3 linked regions of the Stegostoma tigrinum genome follow. The protein of the gene in region 1 purifies or fractionates together with the protein of each later gene. This does not show direct contact. Links are inferred from orthologs where the notes say so. Each region holds a gene or a part of one and is shown in the gene's direction. Other genes may lie near its edges. The genes, in order: cpsf3, ube3d and fip1l1a.

Region 1 (7,116 bases):
ATTCACCCTGACCAAACCTGTGCTGTGCCAGGCAGGAAGATCGCTGAGAGCCTCGCGCTCATCAGGGATACAACTGCCTACGTACAGGACAGGCGAGTGGACACCTGCCTCGTCAGCCTGGACTAGGAGAAGGCCTTCGACAGGTTCTCTCACGCTTACATGAGAGACGTCCTCGTTCGGGGAGGGCATCCGCAATTGGATCCGGCTGCTCTACACCAACATCGTTAGCACAGTCTCGATCAACGGGTGGGAATCGGACAGTTTTCCCATCAGATCTGGAGTCAGGCAGGGCTGCCTGCTCTCTCCTGCCTTGTTCGTGTTCTGTGTGGAGCCCTTCGCCCCATCCATCAGGAAGGACGTGAGCCTGAAGGGCGTGACTATCCCAGGCAACGGAGGCCTTCAGGTCAAGACCTCCCTGTACATGGACGACGTCGCCGTCTTCTGCACCGATCGTCAGTCGGTGAGTAGGCTGTTGGACATCTGCGGCCAGTTTGAACTGGCCTCGGGTGCCAAAGTCAATAGGGGTAAGAGCGAGGTCATGTTCTTCGGGAACTGGGACGACCGCTCCTTCATCCCCTTCACCGTCAGGACAGACTACCTGAAGGTGCTGGGTGTTTGGTTCGGTGGAGCTGGGCCGTGCACTGAGACTTGGGAGGAGTGTATCACCAAATTGAAGCAGAAGCTGGGCAGGTGGATGCTCTGGTCCCTCTCCATCGCGGGTAAGAACCTGGTTGTCAGGTGCGAGGGGCTGTCGGTACTGTTGTATGTGGCGCAGGCCTGGCCTATTCCCTGGACCTGCGCCGCTGCGGTCACCTGGGCCATCTTCCACTTCATTTGGGGGTCGAGGATGGACTGGGTCCGCAGGGACACCATGTACAAAGACCTGGAAAATGGGGGAAAGGGCGTACTGAACGCCACCCTCGCCCTGATGGCTACCTCGGTGTGCGGCTGCATCAAGCTGTGCGTAGATCCTCAGTACACAAACACCAAGTGTCACTACTTACTGAGGTTCTACCTGTCCCCGGTGTTGCGAAGGATGGGCCTGGCCTCGTTGCTGCGGAACGCTCCGAGTAGTTGGACCGTCCTGTACCACCTGTCCTTCGTGGAGAAGTTTTTGAAGGGAAACACCTTTGACCACAAGGCCGTCAGGCAGTGGTCAGCACGTAGTATCCTTGAGACCCTTCGGGAAAAGGAGAGGGTGGATCCCGTCGTGTGGTTCCCCACGCAGACTGCCAAAGTCGTTTGGCAGAATGCCTCATCGCCAGAACTTTCAAACAAGCACAAGGACATTGCTTGGCTGGCGGTGAGAGGGGCTCTGCCAGTGAGATCCTTTATGCATGCCCGGAATCTCTGCGCCACCGCACACTGCCCTCGAGGTGGCTGCGGGGGGAGAACGAGACTGTCGATCACCTCCTTCTGGAGTGTGCCTATGCGCAGGAGGTCTGGAGGGGGATGCAGTGGTATTTGTCGAGGTTCGTCCCGAGCAGGTCCGTGACGCGGGACTCCGTGCTCTACGGGCTGTTTCCTGGGACGCACACCGAGACCAACATCAACTGCGCCTGGAGGACCATCAATGCAGTGAAAGACGCTCTTTGGTCTGCCCGCAACTTGCTGGTCTGCCAGCTGAAAGAACTGACCCCGACCGAGTGTTGCAGACTGGCGCACTCCAAGGTCCAGGACTACATGCTGAGGGACGCGCTGAAGCTTGGGGCAGCCGCCGCCAAGGCACGGTGGGGAAAGACCACGGTATGAAACCCCTCATCCAGAATAGAAAAAAGGGCCCTATCTGGTAACTGGGCCCAGCTGGCGCCTTCCCCAACTGGTCAGGGGGCCAACTGGGACTGTGCGGAGTGACGACTGCCGGGGTATTTTCTTTGCTTTGTTTTTTTTTCTTCTTTGTTTGTTTTTTTTTCCTTTAGTTGGTGTACGTACCCCCTGGGTAACCCGGAGCAGCTTGCATGACTGGGTAGGTGTATAAATATGTTTTATTTTTTGTGCATCTTATGAATAAAGTATATTTTTTCAAATAAAAAAAAGGTGATGAAACGTCTGAAAACTAACCTTCCAGCTCAGCAAGCAAACTCACATCCAGAACCTCAACCTGAGCTACAAATCTTCTCAAAATTCTATTCTCCCTCTACCTGGACCCCTCCCTCCTTTCCTTAACCGTGAACAATTTGTTCACTGAGAACTATCAATATCACATTGGTCACCCTAATTTTTTTCCCCTGCCCCGCTCACGCATTTGAACCGATCTCCCTCTGAACTGAGTGCACTCCATGCTCTCAGATCAAACCTTTGCCAACAAGGGTTGTGCTGTTGTCTGGTGTACTGATCTCTTTCTTGCTGAGGCTGACTGCCAGCACTCACTCTCCCTCTATTTCCCACGGACCATGATTCCCACCATTGAACAACAAGAAAGGGTGCAGAAAAGATTTAGAAAAACATTGACGGGATTGGAGTGTCTGAGTTTTAGGGAGAGGCTGAATAGGCTGGGACAATTTTCCCTGAAGTGTTGGAGGTTGAGGAGTGACCTTATAGGGGTTTATAAAATCATGAGGGGCATGGATAAGGTGAATAACCAAGGTCTTTTCCCCAGGTAAGGGAGTCTAAAACTAGAGGAGTTTAAAGTTAGAGCGGAAAGATTTAAAATGGACCTAAGGCGCAACTTTTTCATGGCGCTACGTGTGTGGAATGAGCTGCCAAAGGTGGTGGAGGCTGGTACAAATACACATTTAAAAGGCATCTGGAAGGGTACCTGATTAGAAAGGGTTGAGAGAGAAACGGACCAGATTTATTTAGGACATTTGGTTGACGTGGATGAGTTGAACAGAAGGGTCTGTTTCCATGTTGTATGGCTTCTCTGACTCTATGACCTTATCAAAAGCCTTCTGAAAGCCCAAGTAAACCATATCCACTGGCTCCCCCTTATCAATTCAAAAAATTCCGGTAGATTTGTCAAGCATGCTTTCCCTTTTATAAATCTATACTGACTCTGTCCAATCCTGTCACTGTTTTCTAAAATGCCCTCCCATTAAATCTTTTATAGTGGACTCAAACATTTTCCTAACCATCTACATTGAGTTAACTGATCTATAATTCCCTGCTTTCTCTCTCCCTTCTTTTCCCTTAAGCAGTGCGGTTACGTTAATTACCTTTCTTTAGACTACCATTTGCTACTCTTAAAGAAATCCATGGTGGTTTTCCCTGACTCATCAACATTTGTCAAGTGGTGCTAATTGTGCCCTCAGTTACTATTCCTAAGAGTGGCTCAGTGGTTAGCACAGTGCCTCAGAGCACCAGGGACCAAGTGTTGACTCAACCTCTGGTGACTGTCTATGTGGGTTTTATACTTTCCACCCGTGTCTGCATGGGGATTGTGTAGGCAGGTGGATTAGCCATCATAAATGCGGTGTTAGGGTCGGCGGGGCAGAGTAGGTATGGATGGGATGCTTTTTGGAGGGTTGGGGCAGACTCAAAGGGCCGAATGGACTCTATCCACACCATATTCCGTGAAGACCTTCAACACCACTGAAGTTAAATCAACCAGTTTGTGATTACTAGGTATATTGCACACTCTGGTTCGAACAAGGATGTAGCACTTAGGATTCTTCAGTCGTCTGGCAACACCCTGGTATCTAAGGAGACCGCCATTCACTTCCCTCAATATCCTTGGATGTACCTGCTCTGATCCTAGTGCAGATCATCCCTTAAGTACAGCCAGTCAGTTTAGTACTTCATTACATTTACCTTTAAGACATCACATCACTGAATGGCCTGCATTAAAGGTTAAGTGGAACCAAGAGTTTAATTATAAAAGAGAGTCACTGCTGACGAGCACCAACATATAACATGCCCAACGATTTGAATCTCAAAAAAACACATCGATTTTAACATGTATAAAACGTTCTATATATTAAAACCTTCAAAAACAAAACGAATTACCTGACAAATTACCCGGTTTCTTACAGAAATAACACGATTATCTCAGTGCACAATATGACACTTTGTGATGAAACCCCTCTCAAGACTCGAGTGTTTCACTTTGTTGTGTCCCCCGACCTCCCGGCCTGTGAGGGGTGGAGGCGGTTTCCAGCCGGAGGTTTACTGGGGCCGGGCCGGAAGTGCCCAGGCCGGCAATGGCGGCTAAGCGGAAAGCGGAGATTTTTGTCCCGGCGGAGGAGAGCGACCAGCTGCTGATCCGCCCGCTGTGAGTGCCACCCCCACCCCCACCCCCTAACACCGTCAACACCACCCCGACCCCCACCAACAACCCCGACCCCCCACCCCCCTCCCCTTCCCCCCACCCCCCCTCCCCTTCCCCCCACCCCTTCCCCCCACCCCCCTCCCCTCCCCCCACCCCCTCTTCCCTCCCCCCCCACCCCCCGCTTCTCCCCCCGCTTCTCCCCCCCCCCGCTTCTCCCCCCCCCCGCTTCTTCCCCCCCCGGCTTCTTCCCCCCCCGCTTCTTCCCCCCCCCCGCTTCTTCCCCCCCCCCGCTTCTTCCCCCCCCCCCGCTTCTTCCCCCCCCCCCCGCTTCTTCCCCCCCCCGCTTCTTCCCCCCCCCTTCCCCCCCCCCCCCGCTTCTTCCCCCCCCCCGCTTCTTCCCCCCCCCCCGCTTCTTCCCCCCCCCCCCGCTTCTTCCCCCCCCCCCCGCTTCTTCCCCCCCCCCCGCTTCTTCCCCCCCCCCCGCTTCTTCCCCCCCCCCCGCTTCTTCCCCCCCCCCCGCTTCTTCCCCCCCCCCCGCTTCTTTCCCCCCCCCCGCTTCTTCCCACCCCCCCAGCTTCTTCCCACATATTCCCCATCTCCCTCGGCCCTCTCCTGTACACCCATCTCTGTTTTCCTTCCCTCCCCTGTATCTCTCCCAATACACACAAGCCTGCTGTTTTTGAGAAAACTGCATATTGGATGCAACTGATGTTCAGTTATCTCTGATGTTAGAGATCTCTGCAGCAGGAATTTATCTTTCAAATTAAAACTTTAAACCTTGTATGTGTGATGACCAAATCCATGCTTGTACTTCATGCACTGGCCTGTAAAGTCATCAGACAACTTTTTTAAATTCATAATTCTTCAAATTGATGCAGTAGAAGACATTGCTTTTCATCACATAAGTTTGAGAATTTTTTTATGAATTGTTAATAGAGGAGCTGGTCAAGAGGTGGGAAGATCATGCATCATTGTGGAGTTCAAAGGAAGGAAAATCATGGTATGATTTAATAAATTGTAAATGTGTACAGTAGGCTTCAGGATTGCTAGTTGACTTCAGTTTTTGTTGTCAGTAAATATCATTGATTGGCTAGCAGAAATTAAACAATTGTTACAGTTTTATATAATATTTTTTAATTGATTTCTTGCAAACTGACTGATACACATATTTGTTAATGATGTCTATGTTGATTAAAAATATGGCTTGCAAACTTTCTTCAAACTGTAGGTTAATTGGTGGCAATGTGATCCGATTAAGAAGCTTTGTTTTGTATTAGATTATATTGGTGTTATGTGTCTATCTGGTCTCACGTTAACAACATGCTAAACTCGGCTTTGAGAATTGATTTTGATGGCCTATTGATTCGCCTTCACCTGAATTTTATCGTATTCAGTTGGATTGTGGAATCCACCCTGGACTTGAAGGAATGGATGCACTTCCATACATTGATTTGATCGACCCTGCGGAGATAGATCTTCTCCTTATTAGTCAGTAAGTATTACAGCTTTCTATTTTAGAATTAAGGAATTACAACATGGCTTCAAAAGGAGATTTCATTTGAACCTTGTTTTCATTGACCCAATCGCTGTATTTAGTTGAGTTACTCTCGATGACAAATAAAAAGTTGTTGCATTGACTGAGATGGGAATAATATATATAATCAGATTGTTAAACAGATCATTGACATTTGGACTTGAGAGCTAGTTTTGTTAAGATTTTGCTATAACCAAAATGCTGCTCTCCTTTTCACACATTTTAAACAAAAGGCTTATATTATTGTTTGTAGGAACACAGGGATAGAAATAACCCATCTGTCCCATGAACCTATTGTCTTATTCAGTTACATTATTGCTGATCTTTACCTCAACTCCTTTGCTTGTCTTTATTCCACGTACTTTGGTATCTTTCCTGTGCAACATCTGTCAATTTTCCAATCTTAATTGACTGACATACACAATTTTTTCTGGGGAGCAGGTTCCTATTTTCTCCTACCCTGTAAGATTTGAGAGTCTATTATTAAGGATGAGATTGCGGAGTACTTGGAAATGCATGGTAAAATGGGGCTGAGTCAACATGGGTTCGTCAAGAGGAGGTCATGCCTGACAAATCTATGAGAATTTTGGTGAAGAGGTAACAATAAAATCAAAGGAGCCCCAGTGGATGTGATCTGTTTAGCCAGAAAGCCTTTGACATGGTGCTGGATGGAGGGCTGCTAAATAATTTAAGAACCTGTGGTGTTAGGGGCAAGGTTCTGGAATGGATGGAGGATTGGCTGACGAGCAGAAAGCAGAGTAGTGGGGTTTAAGAGGTCTTGTTTTAGGACAGCAACTGGTAACATGTGGCATTAGCATTGTGACTGCACATTATTCGTGTTATACATTAACAATGTGGACAAAGGAACTGAGGGCAATTTTGCTAAATTTGCAGATGGCCCACAAGTGGAGGGATAGGTAGTGTTGAGCAAGTGGGGAGGCTGCACAAGGATTTGGATTGGCTCGGAGAGTGGGCAAAGAAGTGGTACATGGAATACAGTGTTGGAATATGTGAGGTTTGCACTTTCAAAGGAAGAATAGAGATGCTGTCTGTTTTCTAAACAGAATGCCATTAGAAATCTGAAGCACAAAGGGATTTGGGAGTCCTAGTTCAGATTTCTCTTAAGGTTGATATGCAGGTTCAGTTGGCAGTCAGAAGGGAAGGTGTAATTTTAGCATTCACAGAATACAAGAGCAGAAATGTACTGTGGAAGCTGTATAAAGGCTCTGGTCATTTGGAATATTGTGAGCAGTTTTAGGCTTCATATCTAAGGAAAGATGTACTGGCATTGGAGGAGAACCAGAGGCAGTTTACAAAAATGATCCCGGTGATGTTGAGCTTGTCATGAGGATTCTGGGTTTGTACTCTATGCAGT
Region 2 (8,083 bases), about 76 Mb from region 1:
GTAACAATTGTTGTATAATTACTGGGATCTTAAACTGACAAATTCAACAGCACGACTGCTGACAGAATGAAGCAGGTGTTAGATGGAAAAAGAACAACTGAATATGTTGTTGATCATGAAGGAGTTCCTTGGTTACAGTGAGGTGATTTACACAGAATTTGCCAATTCTGCCTGGTTAAAAAATTGCATGTTCAATATTTCATTCTTCAACATTTATGTTTAATATTCATCGTAGGGAAAGATGTAATTTGTCTCTGATTTGACTTTGGGTGTATTAATGAAACATATGAAAAGAGAATGCAATGAAATTGAATGATGTATTTGCTTGATATTGCTGCAGACCTATGTCAACAAACTCTGCATTGAATTAAAATTTGACTACCAAAACCAGCTTTTTCTATTTACAGAGTCTGTATAAATTTATCAATGCAAAGCAACTTCCATCATAAGCCACAACAAAATACATCTGTGTAATTAATTAATTTAAAATGCAGTATCAATTTACAAAAAACAAGCTTGACTAAGGAAGGGATAATGGGAACTGCAGATGCTGGAGAATCCAAGATAATAAAGTGTGAAGCTGGATGAACACAGCAGGCCAAGCAGCATCTCAGGAGCACAAAAGCTCCTGAGATGCTGATGGCCTGCTGTGTTCATCCAACTTCACACTTTATTATCTTGACTAAGGAATCCTATATTAGACTAAATCAAAAATATATTTGCATTTTTGTTTGGAACTCTCAATTAAACCACTGTATATTAATCTCTTTAAAATGTAGGATCTACAATAATAATAAAAACCTAAAGAATGGTGGATGCTGTAAATCAGGAACAAAAACTGAAGTTGCTGGAAAAGCTCAGCAGGTCTGGTAGCATCTGTGGAGGAGAAAACAGACTTAACATTTCAGTCCAGTCACCCTTCTTCAGAGCTGATGGTGGCTGGGAAATTGTCAGTTTATATGCAGAAAATAGGGAGGTGGGTGGGGTAGGGAGTAAATGATAGGATAGACCCCAAAGAGAGAGAAAGACAGTTGGACAAACAAAGGAGTTGCTAACGATCAGGCTGGGAGGGTGAATAGTTGTTAATGGGGACCGTTAGTGACTAATAACAGGGGGTGTGTAGTGGCAGGCTATGTGGTGACAAGGCCTGGTGTGTGGGGTGGGGGCTGGGACATGGGTGAGTTTAGGCCCTAAAATTATTGAACTCGATATTGAGTCCAGCGGGCTGTAGGGTCCCCAAGCGGAAAATGAGGTGTTGTTCCTCCAGCTTGCGCTGGTCTTCACTAGAACACTGTAGCAAGCGGTGGGGGATGGAGACAGGCTGCAGTGGGGAGAGAGGTTACAGCTGTCCCTTCTTATCAGGCTCCTGGGCTTTCTAAGATGGGTTCCCCTCAGCCCTCAGTTGTTTGGCCACAGCCTTCCTACCCTTTTAGCTGGTACCTCCTTTCCTTCCAGCATATCCCATACACTCTTTTCTCTCTCTAGGGATGCAGTGACGATCTCAGGTGAAGGAGCAGTACAGTACTGGCTGTAGCCACTGCTCCTGATTTGGAGGCCTGTCAGTGTCTGATTGGCCAGCAGCTCTCTGAGGAGGCCCTTCCTGATTGAAGAAAGTCTGTACTATACTCTCCCTCCATTGCCTTCACCTTCTTCCTGTAACGTGTAGACCAAAACTGTAATCAATACTCCAACTGTTGCCTTGCTATGATTTTACATATCACCTTCATATCACAACTTTGATCTTCAATACTGAGTTCGAAAGGAAAAGGCACTCAAATTAAGATGGACAGATAAAGGACTGAGATAGTATTCAAAATGGTTGGAATCAGGGCAGATGTTTTTGAGTTTCAGCTGCTAGCACTGAACCTTGCCCACCAGAATTGCAGATTGGAAAACCCTCACAACTTACCATGGAAAACCAGGGGAACAGCCCTCAAAATTTGCACAAATAATCCTTAGGTAAACCACGAAGGAATTAATGGTTTAAGGGGTCAAAACAGATTCCCTGGATGTGTCTGGGAATGGAAGGTTTGACTTATAAGGAGAGACTGGTTAGGCTGGGACCTTTATTCGCTGGAGCACAGGAGGTTGAGGGGTGACCTTATAGAGATTTATAAAGGATTTTCTTCTCCCAGAGATGGCATTCCCTCTAATTTTCCTTAACAGCTGCATGGGTTCTCAGGGGTCCAAGCATGGCTTCTGGAACTGGATATCAACCACAGGATCAGCATGCCACTGCTGACTGTTGGGTGCAGAATATCAGAGCAGCTGCCTCTAAGCAGCTTAGAGGGAATGTTGCACAGAAGCCAGAGAACATCTGGAATTCTCTACCCCAGAGATTGGATCACTGAAAGTATTTAAAAAGAAGGTAGATAGATTTTTGAAATCTGGGGGAGTTGTGGGCAATGAAGAGCTGGTGAAAGGAGAGTTGAGCCTTGGCCATGATCCTAATGAATGGTAGGTCAGACTTGAAAGGCTGAATGGCCTACACCTGCTCCTATCTCTTGTGTTCTCAATGCTTTGGTCCACTGCCCAATACTCCTTTATGCGAGTATTACAACACTTCTGTGTGGGTTCTTGGGGAGATTTATTTCATTAGATGCTCTACATAAATAAGTGCTGCCATTAAACTAAGACAGTGCAAATTGTGGCGATGTCCCTTGGGGTGCAGTGGTAGACTCCCTAAGCCTGGGCTGAGTGGGCTAGGTTCAAGGCCCAGCTGCCCCAGAGATGTGTCATGCAAGTCTGATAAGATTGATTAAAATAACTATAACTCATCCAGTGCATTAATTTCAAATTTCTTTTCTCTATTCTGTAGATTCATCATCAAGTTATTGAGGAGCCATGAGCTGGAGTTTACTCCGTGATGTTTTGAGCGGAGTGAATAAATACTCCACTGTTGTGGGGAGAATCTGGTTGAGTGTTATGTTCGTATTCCGAGTCCTTATCTATGTGGTGGCTGCAGAACGTGTCTGGAATGATGAACAGAAGGAGTTTACCTGCAACTCAAGGCAAGTTGGTTGTGAAAATGTATGTTTCGACCACTTCTTTCCAGTGTCGCACTCAAGACTTTGGGCACTGCAACTTATCTTGGTTTCTACCCCTTCTCTTCTGGTTGTCATGCATGTAGGTTACAGGGAACACCGAGAGAAGAAGTACAAAAAAAAGCTGTACAAAGACAAAGGGAACATAGATGGAGGTCTGTGGTGGACCTATTTCTTTAGCCTAGTGTTCAAAACAGGAGTTGAGTTCAGTTTCCTGTTTGTGCTGGCATGGATGTACGATGGCTTCATTATTCCTCACCTTTTGAAGTGTGAGATCAAACCTTGCCCTAATGTGGTGGATTGTTTTGTCAGTCGGCCAACAGAAAAGACCATCTTCCTCTACTGCATGGTTGCCTCCTCGGTTCTGTGCATACTGCTAAACATTTGTGAGATGAGCTACCTAATCTTAAAACATTGCAGAGATTGGTGTGAAAAGAGATCTGTGAAGCAGGCAAAACGATTGAAATGTGGATGCCGTCCTTTAGAAACGAATCAGCCTCAACGAAAAGGACTTAAAAATGGCACTTTGAGGTCTTCTGTAAGTATGTGCACTTTGTAAAATCAGAGCAACAGCAAGACAATCTCTGATATTGCGAATGAAAGCTGGCTTTAGAGCAAGAGACTTTGGTGGACAGTTACCTGTTATTTAAAGAAATAAACCAAACATGAATTATTGCATTAACAAAGACAGAGAATGCCAGAGAAACTCAGCAGGTCTGGCAGCATCTGTGGAGAGAGAAACCGAGTTAACGTTTCAAATCTAAAAACGCTTTCCCGAACTTTCACAGTCATGTTGGACTCGAAGTGTTAACTCTATTTTTCTCTCTCCACCGTTACTGCCAACCTTGCTGAACTTCTCCAGCACTTTCTACTTTTACTTTAAATCTTCAGCACCTGCAATATTTTGCTTTTATTTGATTTATGGAGCTACTGCCGAGGAATCTTTGAAGAATGTTTAAAATTTTTACTGAAAAGATTGTGGATGTGTAGAATACTAACTTCAACATGCCTTAATTACATATAATTTTGAACCAAGCTTTGTACAATTGAGTGCAGGACACATGGGTCAGCACAGAACACACGGTTGCCATATTAATTACAAAAGTCAGTTATACCTTTGTAAAAGATTATATCTTTAGTAAAAAAGATCTCCTCCCGAGTACATCTACAAATTGTGTAAACTTGGCAAGTTGATCCTAAGGTGAAAATGACCACTTATTCATTTTGATGAAAAAAAAATAGCTGTTGCGTTTTTGGGTAATCGTGAAAGTGGGTGCACAGTTGAGGAAGTCATTTACAAAGACACAAGAGCTATTGCACAGACAGTATTTACTGTCAGCCAGGCAGAATTATGGGAACATAATTTACGTGTTCTGGCGTAAAGATGTGAGGGTTGTAAGCATGCAGAGATTTTACTTCTCCGTCCTTTCGTCTTACTTTCTGACAATGACTGTAATTTGTATTGTTTATTTTACCCTGGTAAAGTTAATCCGAATTGTATCCTGACTGTTACGTAGTACATGAGAAAATGCAATCAATCATAAACAATTATTTCACTGTACGTGAAAAGACTTCCATTCATAAAAACACATTAAAAAACCCTGAATTGTATCAGTGATAATGGGAACTGCAGATGCTGGAGAATCCAAGATAATGAAATGTGAGGCTGGATGAACACAGCAGGCCCAGCAGCATCTCAGGAGCACAAAAGCTGACGTTTCCGGCCTAGACCCTCTGACGTTTCGGGAGGGTCTAGGCCCGAAACATCAGCTTTTGTGCTCCTGAGATGCTGCTGGGCCTGCTGTGTTCATCCAGCCTCACATTTCATTATCTTTAAAAACCCTGAAAGTGGGAATGAGTGACAAAGATAACAAAGTGTGAAGCTGGATGAACACAGCAGGCCAAGCAGCATCTTGCTCCTGAGACGCTGCTTGGCCTGCTGTGTTCATCCAGCTTCACACTTTGTTATCTTGGATTCTCCAGCATCTGCAGTTCCCATTATCTCTGAGTGACAAAGGCTGACTTTGCCTGTGATGCTCATGACAAAATGAAACATAGGCATATTTTGAATTCCTTTGAGAAGCTGACCCACCCTTTAGAAAATTTTTTTAAAAATCGATCAAATAATAAACACTAGAATTAAGCACTCAAAAACAAATGCAGTATCTTACCCAGAATTTAATTCTTCCCATTTTCCAATATCTTTCATCGTCTTCACCTCACAATAACCAAGTGGTCCCTTGCAAATGCTTGAGCAATATGGCTGCATTTCAGTTTCCAATATAGTTTGGGGTTGCTTTACCTTGATAACTTTTCAGTCTTTCTAATGTATATTATCTCAAAGCTGCCCCCATTCCACCACCTCTCCACTCTCCTGTTTTCTTTTCTTGATGTTACATGTTACATTGCAACTCTCCTTCTTGCCCTATAACCACGTCCTTTCTTCAGTGACTTCTTGCCCTTGATAGCTACACTTCTGTTCCCAGAGTCTCTCAGGTTCCAGAGAGTCACAAACTGTATTTGACAGGGGTTACACCGTGTTCCCAGGGGTGACTCTCTGCTCCTAGCAGTGACAAACTTTACTCCAGGTGATCACATTCTCTGGTCTCCAGAGGTTTCTCTCTCTTTTTCCACTTTGCCCCTCAGGGTCACGTTCTGGCTTCTTGTGTGTCAAAAACGTTACTGTCGGAGGTTTCACAACCTGTTTCTAATGGGGTAAATCTCAGTTCTCAGGAATTACATTCTGTTGATCATTACCTGCATCTTGCCAACTTGTCGGTCTCCCAACTTCGAGTCTCTCTCTTCCCCGCTTGCAAAGAGCTCCCAAATCCTTTTCCCAATTGCTCCAAAAGCTCTGTCCCTCGACATACTTAGCTCCAAAAAGCAACTCTCAATAAACTCCATCCCAGACTTCCCTATATTTCAGGTCCCTCACTACTACCCTATTTAACTGTATAGCTGGGCTCCTGCAGAATGCTTCGGCCTTTGCATCTTTCCCAGTGCTCAACTGTCTGAAAGCAGAAAAGACAGAACTGATGGATTTTTGGATCAAATGATCTTTCAATTGTGAAAACTTTCACAATAAGTGCACACATTTTTACTATAGATTGACAATTGATGTCACGATGAAGGAGAAACAAACCCGGGGCATCACGGAGCATTTACAATAGGACATAATTCTTTATGTAAACCAGGATACAAATAAGTCAATGGGTATTTTCTGAAATGTGACTTCTGAATGCTTAATGTGCTTCGCCCAAATTCCATTTTAATGAGGCTTTTAAATTTGGTTGGTTAGTACCATTGTAAAAATAGCATATAGAGAAATGTAGTGAGGGCTGTTTTTATTTGAACTTGACCAGTTGAAAGGCCAACTTGGACAAGGATCATCAAAGAGTCATTGTTATTGATTTAAATCTATGGCTTAATTCATTGTTGAACTTAGCTGATCTAACAAAACAGTGGTGAGTAGTATGATCGGGATCAATAAGTATATTAAGAGCAGTCTATTTTCAGTGAGGAGATTAGTGCTATGAAAGCTTTGTATGTTAACACTCCAAATCTGGTTTGACAGGCTTAACAAGCAAACAGTGTAGGTTCAGATATCTACATCAATACCATTTATGCTTTTTGGATGTAAGTTATGATTTAGGATGCATTTCTTTTCTTTTTATCTCATGATTGTTTTTCCGGCTGCAAACTAAGGAATTACTGGATTTATTAGATTATTCAATAATTACTACTCAAACTCAAATACTCTTTGGATTACTACAATCATTAAGATATTGTATTTAAACTGTTCCTGTTCATTATTTCAAATGTTGTGGACTCAATGCTTGTCTTGATAGAACATGTGTAGATTTATGCCAATATTTTATATTTGAAAAGTCAAATGTAATTTCAATATTTTACTTGATTATGCTTCTGTGAAGTACTTTGTAACTATTCTATCTATTTAAAGGCGCCATATGAATGCAAGTTGCTGCCTGCACAATGTAATTCTCTGGCAGACTTTGTCTTGAAGAAAATAAACAAATTTGTTTCATATACTTCTCAATTCATCAATTGTTGTTCATTTTACTCTTGGTCATTTTGATTGGGGTTTTCCACAATTAAAAACATTTAGCAGGTTGCATTCTAAAATGCAAATACTCCTATGATTGATGCCAATAGATCTTACTTAATGATCTTTCAGAATTTATTTTCCTCATGCTTTTACACATTTAGCAGATAGGTTTGAGAAACTGGAATGCTTTTGAGTATTTATTATTCTTCCGAAAAAGAAGGCTTGTTTAAAATCTAATTTTGACTTACTGACCGTTCCTTTAACCTAGTGCTTAGCAGTTTGAAGAATGATTATATGTGAGTGTTGCATACTATGCTTAGTCTAATACAACCCTTAAAGTTTAGTTAGTTTCGATATGGATGGGGAAACGGTTTAAACTCAATGCTGTCATGCAATTACTTCTGCTTTAAAAAAAGAGACATATCAAAAATCCAAAAATTCTGTTCCTCTTTTGTAGAATATAAAGAAGAACAACCTGGTTGAAATTAAACTGCTTGAAAATTTTATCAGAAATGGGAACTCACCAATTTGGATAGGAACCAACAATAAAAAGGCTGTTTCAGTTTTCAAAAATGTAAAGACTATTGTAAATAAGCTCCCACAGTCACAATTTGTAGGAAAATTAACTATATTTTAAGTTATTTGTGAAGTTGTAGCTTTGAACCTGAAAGATTAACTGTTTCTCTCCTCACAGATGCTGCCAGACCTGCTGAGTTTTTCCAGCATTGCCTGTTTTTATGTCAGATCTCCAGCATCCACAGTACATTTTCTTATTTGAAGCTTTTATCAGATGAGGTTTATTACTTATTGCTTCGGATATTATAAAAAGCATACCCAATGGAAGCATATCCAATGTTTGTTGTGTGCGCAAAGGTATAATTGGATGACTGTTTGTCTCACTGGGGATGAAGGAGAGTGAATGAGTGGGTAATTGTGAAAAACAGTCACTGGTAGTAAAAATGGATGTACTAAG
Region 3 (7,105 bases), on another chromosome or scaffold:
CAATGTTACAAAGCATTAGGAAAACACCATCAATGTTTTTAAAATTTTATTTTATTCATTCATGGGACATGAGTATCACTGGCTATGCCAGCATTTATTACCCAACATTAGTTGTCCTGGAGAAGGTGATGAATTTCTGAAATCCATTTGGTAGGTACACCCCAGGCTGTCAGATAGGGACTTCCAGGATTTTGACATAGTGACACTTAAGGAGTGATGATATATTTCCAAGTCAGGATAGTGAGTGACTTGGCTGGAAACTTGCAGATGTCGGTGTTTCCATGTATCTGCTGCCCTTGTCCATCTTATTGTAGGTTTCGAAGGTGCTGAGTAAGGATTCTTGGTGAATTTCTACAGTGCATGTTACAGATGGTGTTCACTGCTGTGACTGAGCTTCAATAATGATAGGAAAGTTTGTGGATGTGATGCTAACCAAGTAGGCTGCTTTGTCCTAACTCACTTCTTGAGTGCTTTTGAAGGTGCACTCATCAGGCAAATGGGAAGTATTCCATCACAGAATTAATTTGACCCTTCTTGATGATCAACAGGCTTTGGGGAGTCAGGAGGTGAGTTATATGCTGCAGGTTTGTTCAAACAAATCTAAAAAGGATCTTACATGTTAGTTCTACTGATAAAATGAACTAACAGCCAGGCTGCACATGCTATGGAGCTGAAATACTATTTCCTCTCAAGTGACCATATTGTAACCATTCACACACTGTCTATTTGACCTGTTTTGGAAAATGATTTAGCTGTATAGTTGAGTAGAAAACAAAGCCAATTAAAATGTTCAGAAAATAGCTTGCAAAATCATCTTTGTTCTGATGACAGTATCATGGTTATTCAGATGTCTTACATAAATGTGGTCTGAAGACACATGAAAACAGGCACAATCACCATTCTGACAGTTCACTATCCTTCCAGTGATAATTCTAGGCCTGAAACGTCAGCTTTTGTGCTCCTGAGCTGCTGCTGGGCCTGCTGCGTTTATCCAGCCTCACATCTTATTATCACTATCCTTCCAGGTTGTGTGCTTCTGTAAATTTTTAAGTTATGTATTTTAACACCAAAGTCATTAATACAGATCAAGAAAATCAATTGTGCTAAAGACAATCCCTGGGGACCTCCACTACATACGAGCCTTCAGTTTGACAAACAACTGTTCCCCACTGTCCTCTGCGTCCAGGCACTAAGTCTAAAACAATTTTAAAAACCTTGCTGATATTTCTTAATGAGAAACTTTCTCAACTCTGAAGTTAAACTGACTGGCCTGTAACTTGCAGAATTTGTTCCTGCATCTTCTTTTGAAAGGGTTCGGTACTCTCTCGTCCTCTGGAACCATCCCCATAATTAAAGAAAATTGAAAGACTGCAGCTAGTGCCTTTGTAGTTTTCATTTCATCTTACCTTTTATTTCCACCATCCAGGGAAGGCTGGTTTTGTTTTCCCTGTCCTTTCCCTCTATGCATCTCCAATCTAACCATCAATGAACATATAAAATAAGAGCAGAGGTAGACCATTCTAGCCCTCACCAGTCAATAAGATCATGGATGACCTAGTCATTAATGGCAGTCATTTGCTCAATGTGTCCAACAATCTTTGATTCTAATCAACCCAACACAAACTGGGAATCATTACTGATGCAGATTATTGTTCAAATATAGGTAGTAAATTTTCTTGTTTCTATGTTGAGTTTCAGAAGTGGCATCAATAATGGCGAACAGAATTGTGAAGTGATTTTTTTCAATTATTTCATACAGCATGAATGTTGCTAGCAAGGCAAGCATAATCATTTTTGAAATGTTGAAGGAAAGTTGACTTTCTGTACCACTACAGTTCATTCGGTGTAGGTCAATGCACAGATGAAGGGATGGAGATTTCATTTCACATCAGGATAGCATGGCGTTTGGAGAGGAAATTGCAAGTAGTGATGTTCATATGCATCTGGTGTCTGTCTTTCCAGGTGGTACAGATTATTAGTTTGGAAATTTTATGTTAACATATGCTAAAATCTTTATAAACCCTTCCTTGAATTCTTGCCTGAGTCATCAGTTTCAAACACCATTTCAGAGACTTGAGCTCATAATTTACACCAAAGTAAACACGATACTGTTGGAGGTGACTTTTTTTTTGATAGGATGCCAAACTGAGGTCTTGTTTGTTCTGTCATGTGGACAGAAAAGATTCAAGATATTAACACACGAGAATTCACAGGTGTTCTATTTATTGTACATTCTTTAAACAAAATCAACACTCTAGGTAAGTCAACTATCTTGTTGCTATAACGAGATAACAAATTGTGGAGCTGGATGAACACAGCAGGCCAAGCAGCATCTCAGGAGCACAAAAACTGATGTTTCAGGCCTAGACCCTTCATCAGAGAGGGGGATGGGGAGAGGGAACTGGAATAAATAGGGAGAGAGGGGGAGGCCGAAGATGGAAAGAAAACAAGATAGGTAGAGAGGAGAGTATAGGTGAGGAGGTATAGAGGGAATAGGTCGAGGAGGCGGGATGAGGTGGTAGGTAGGAAATGGAGGTGCGGCTTGAGGTGGGAGGAAGGGATAGGTGAGAGGAAGAACAGGTTAGGGAAGCAGAGACAGGATGGGCTGGACACTCTCTCCACAGCTCCCTTGTCCGCTCCACACTCCCCTCCAACCCCACCACACCCAGCACCTTCCCCTGCAACCGCAGGAAGTGCTACACTTGCCCCCACACCTCCTCCTTCACCCCCATCCCAGGCCCCAAAATGACCTTCCATATCAAGGAGATGTTCACCTGCACATCTGCTAATGTGGCACATTGTATCCATCGTACCTGGTGTGGCTTCCTCTACATTGTGGAAACCAAGCGGAGGCTTGGGGACCGCTTTGCAGAACACCTCTGCTCGGTTCGCACTAAACAGCTGCACCTCCCAGTCGCGAACCATTTCAGCTCCCCCTCCCATTCCTCAGACGACATGTCCATCATGGGCCTCCTGCAGTGCCACACTGATGCCACCCGAAGGTTGCAGGAACAGCAACTCATATTCCGCTTGGGAACCCTGCAGCCCAATGGTATCAATGTGTACTTCACCAGCTTCAAAATCTCCCCTTCCCCCACTGCATCCCAAAACCAGCCTAGTTCTTCCCCTCCCCCCACTGCATCCCAAAACCAGCCCATCCCATCTCTGCTTCCCCAACCTGTAGTTCCTCTCACCCATCCCTTCCTCCCACCTCAAGCCACACCTCCATTTCCTACCTACCACCTCATCCCGCCTCCTTGACCTGTCCATCTTCCCTGGACTGACCTATCCCCTCCCTACCTATCTTGTTTTCTCTCCATCTTTGGTGCGCCTCCCCCTCTCCCCACCCCCCCTTTTCTGATGAAGGGTCTAGGCCCGAAACGTCAGTTTTTGTGCTCCTGAGATGCTGCTTGGCCTGCTGTGTTCATCCTGCTCCACATTTTATTATCTTGGATTCTCCAGTTCCCATTATCATTGTTGCTATAACGATATGGTTTAGCTACTACATTTCCTACATGAGAACAATGATATACATCAAAGGTTTTTCCCCTCACTGTAAAAGTTTGGCATCATACCGGGGACTAATCTATCTGCCCTTCCAGCATCATCTTTTCTACAACTTGTTACCCCGACAATGTATTTTAACATTGAAGAGAAAATGCTGGAAATACCTAGCCAGTCCGAAAACCTCTGCGGGAAGAGAACTGTTTCTCTCCCCGTAGATACTTGCCAGGCCCGAGCCTTTCCATCATTTTCCATTCCTATCCCCATGATTCGCGGGATTTTGCTGGTGGAGGTGACACAGTGTGGAGGTGGAGGAGGAGGAACATCTCTGACTCCACTTCTCACTGTCTCTTTTGCTTTTGGAGTATGTTTTCAAAATCCAAGGTAATGATGAGTCACGAACCAAAAGCATGTGAAATGTTGTGAGTACAGCACTGAACATTGCCTGTGTAACACACAGTCTCTCTCTCTCTCTCCCTACTTACCTGCTTTCACTTTGACACCAAGCAGTTAGACTGAGGGTCAGTGCCAGAGGCTGGTTTCCGGGTCAGAGGTACCGGCTTCGGGGGTCATTTCCTGGGTTAAAGGTCAGGCTGGCAGTGAATGTGCGTATCAGGAGTTGGGCCCAGTGCACGGCGAAGTTAATCTCATTTCCCCGGGCGGGTGGTCAGGCAGGCGGCCGGCCGGCAGCATGTCAGCGGAGGCGGAGAACGTGCCGAAGGAGGCCGGCTCAGGCAGCGCGGGGCTCGGTGAGGATGAAGAGCACTGGCTGTACGGAGGTGAGTGTGGGCCCCGGGCTTGGGCGAGGTGGTACTGTCAGAGCCGGCCCCGGCATGTTACAGCGCGACCTCTGATCACCATCGTTTCCTCCTGGCCTCCTCTTTAAGCCGATGTTCCGTTTCGATTTCAGATGAAAACGACCCAAACAAACAAGAAGAGGCCGCGCCTGTTGACAGGTGAGCGAAAATTCAGAAGTTCTCAGCCCCCGCTTTTTCTCACTTTCACCGTGTGGATTGCTTACATTTTTACAGGGGTCCTTTACTCCTCAACACTGCATTCAGATCTTTTGGTAAAGACACTTCTGTTTTGTGTCTGTGTGGTCGGGTTGATCAATTTGTACAGAATTCAAGGTGCATTGGCCGGCAGTGATCCTTGGGGTGAGGTGCATTGGCCGGCAGTGATCCTTGGGGTGAAGTGAGATTCTCAGGAGGTTTGACAGGTTGGAACAGAAACAAAGTTGCTGGGAAAGCTCAACAGGTCTGACAGCATCTGTGAGGAAGAAAACAGAGTTAACTTTTCAGGTCCGGTGACCCTTCCTCAGAATTGATAGGGTAGAAACTGAGCGGTTGTTTCCTCTTGTGGGACTATGTAAATGAACTCCAGTAAATATCTTGAGGTTTTCTGTTTCTTACTATCTTTCTATGCAGTGAATTCCAGATACCCACCATCCTTGTATTGATCTCTCTACTAAGGAGGAAAAGCTCTCCTTCAAGGGCATTCTCCTATAACGCATGTTCTGGCTACACGAATTGGCTATGACATGACTGACGATGGGGGGGGGGACACTATTTCTAAAACACCAACTTGTGTTGGCTACAATGTGATTTCATCGCTGACCAATTGATTTTTTAGAAAGTATTACAAGAAAAAAATTGGATTTAAAGATTCTCCTCATCCTGGCCTAGGCACCAAGCCATCATCCCACCATTGCTGAGCTTTCTGAAAAAAAAAGTGCTATTTCAAGCCCTCAAACACAGCTCCTCTACTTCAACCCATGGACCAGGGTGCAATTGCAGCTTTTTATTTAAGACATGCATTTAAGAGGCTGATTGCAGCTACTCAGCGGGACAGGGACAGTGTTCTGCTGGTTGAGTCCCGCTGTGAAGACAGCAACTAGTTGTGAGGGGGAGGTGGAAGCTGGATGAAGGTGAAGTCCAAGATGCAGCACCATGAGAGCTTCCCACTTGTGTTTTGCCTTCTATTCTAAGGGAAATTGAGAAGCAGTTGCAACTTTTAGAGGACAATGATTATAGCGCAGAACATGGCAGAGTAGCAGTTTGTGGAAAGTGGCAGCCTATGAACAGCTTCTGCATGAAAGAAGAAAAAAAGGCAGAACAGCAAAAACTGGATGTCTTTTTGACCTAACCCTGCAACCATAACTGTGCCTGAAGAAGGTGTTGGTGGTGGTGATGATGATTATGATGATGACCCTTAGCCCCTCCATTAACAACAGAGTAACCTCAAAACCTCCTCCCCATCAAGTCATCTTGATGTTTTTTTCAAGGTAAGGCGTTAAATTTACTTTTATTTCATTATTACGTATGCATTCAACATTTATTCAAACTGTTCTGTCCTTTTCTGTTAGGCTTTTGAGTGACTTTGGAGTGTTATATTTTGATGGTCTGACCCAACCCTGTTTTCTCCAGAGGCCCTGTGATTTTCTATGATGCATTGTTGCACAAGAATGCAACTTTCATGTTATGGCAGAATCCCCAGCATCTACTTGAACGATGACCCGCAACTGTGTTTAGGTCAATAAGGCCAGTGTCCTATGCGTTGTCTTAAGTTTCATATTTACCTGTCCTTCTGGCTTCAAGGATCTTTGGACATGCACGCCAAGGTTTGTCTCATCCACTGTATTCTAGAGCCTGGGACTTTGGCAACTGAAGGAGCAGAGATGAATAGTGAAGTGGATTAAAGTTGTTTGAAGTAAAGGTCACTGTTACAGGAAGGCAGATGCCTTGGACAGTTTAGGAAGGTTGGGGGAGATAGGTAGGGACGTGAAGGAATGTGAAAGCAAGTATGAAAACTTTTCAGTCAAACATTTGCTTGATGGCAAACGAATGGTAAGCAGAGATGATAGAAAAGTTAAATGATGCAAGATGAGTCAAGCAGCAGAGTTCTGGATGACTTCGAGCTTAGCGAGGGTAGGATGTACTTGAACAGTTGGCGGTGCATTCAGTAGTTGGACCTTTTAAGTACAAAAGACATGAATGCAGGTTACAACATTATGTGAGAGGTGAAGTTGAAGATGGAAATTTTTGAAAGTTCATCTTGAATCAAATGTGATACTAATGTTGCAAACAAATTCCCTTAATTTCAGACTTGACAGGGAGAGGGTTAGACAAAAATAGAAATTGTTGGAAAAACACAGCAGGTATGTCAGCATCTGTGGACAGAAAGCAGAGTTACTGTTTTGGGCCCACCGAAACTTCCTCAGAACTGGAGCCCTGGAGATGACAGCAAAGGGAATAGACTTTGGAGCAGGCTCTAAATGCAGTGGCTTCAGTTCTTCCAATGTTTAACTGGAGGACATTTCTGCACATAAATAAACGGCCTGATATTGTAGTAACAGTGGTGGGAGGGGCGGGTGGTGGTGGTACCCAAGAAAGTTGACATTAAACAGTCAATTTGAAAACTAATGTGGTGCTTTTGGGTGATGTTGTAGATTTGCTTGCCAAGTGGATGTGTTTTATTGCAGACATTTCATCACCCTGCTAGGTAACATCGTCAGTGTGCCTCAGATGAAGTTTTAGTGAGGCGTATAAATAACAAGCAGGGCAGAAACCAGCGCTGCAATCAAACACTCCAGGTTGGCGAG

What was found.
Region 2: the proteins of cpsf3 (region 1) and ube3d purify together in Homo sapiens (affinity purification with mass spectrometry; 4 studies listed by BioGRID and IntAct, counting the BioPlex papers as one, with this or other methods). This does not show direct contact. The link is inferred for Stegostoma tigrinum from reciprocal best matches to the Homo sapiens genes CPSF3 and UBE3D.
Region 3: the proteins of cpsf3 (region 1) and fip1l1a purify together in Homo sapiens (affinity purification with mass spectrometry; 5 studies listed by BioGRID and IntAct, with this or other methods). This does not show direct contact. The link is inferred for Stegostoma tigrinum from reciprocal best matches to the Homo sapiens genes CPSF3 and FIP1L1.

Annotation. Positions count from the first base shown.
Region 1 is NC_081357.1:115,214,760-115,221,875, forward strand, and holds the start of cpsf3 (cleavage and polyadenylation specificity factor subunit 3), read left to right. Parts: upstream 1-4,083; 5' UTR 4,084-4,139; coding exon 4,140-4,210; intron 4,211-5,143; coding exon 5,144-5,207; intron 5,208-5,600; exon of another isoform or gene 5,601-5,601; coding exon 5,602-5,699; intron 5,700-7,116. UniProt on the Homo sapiens protein: Component of the cleavage and polyadenylation specificity factor (CPSF) complex that plays a key role in pre-mRNA 3'-end formation, recognizing the AAUAAA signal sequence and interacting with poly(A) polymerase and other factors to bring about cleavage and poly(A) addition.
Region 2 is NC_081357.1:39,205,131-39,213,213, reverse strand, and holds the start of ube3d (E3 ubiquitin-protein ligase E3D), read left to right. Parts: upstream 1-5,050; 5' UTR 5,051-6,508; intron 6,509-8,083. Other genes in the region: gap junction beta-7 protein-like, read left to right, coding at 2,845-3,603. UniProt on the Homo sapiens protein: E3 ubiquitin-protein ligase which accepts ubiquitin from specific E2 ubiquitin-conjugating enzymes, and transfers it to substrates, generally promoting their degradation by the proteasome.
Region 3 is NC_081354.1:107,223,224-107,230,328, forward strand, and holds the start of fip1l1a (pre-mRNA 3'-end-processing factor FIP1), read left to right. Parts: upstream 1-4,053; 5' UTR 4,054-4,195; coding exon 4,196-4,283; intron 4,284-4,414; coding exon 4,415-4,460; intron 4,461-7,105.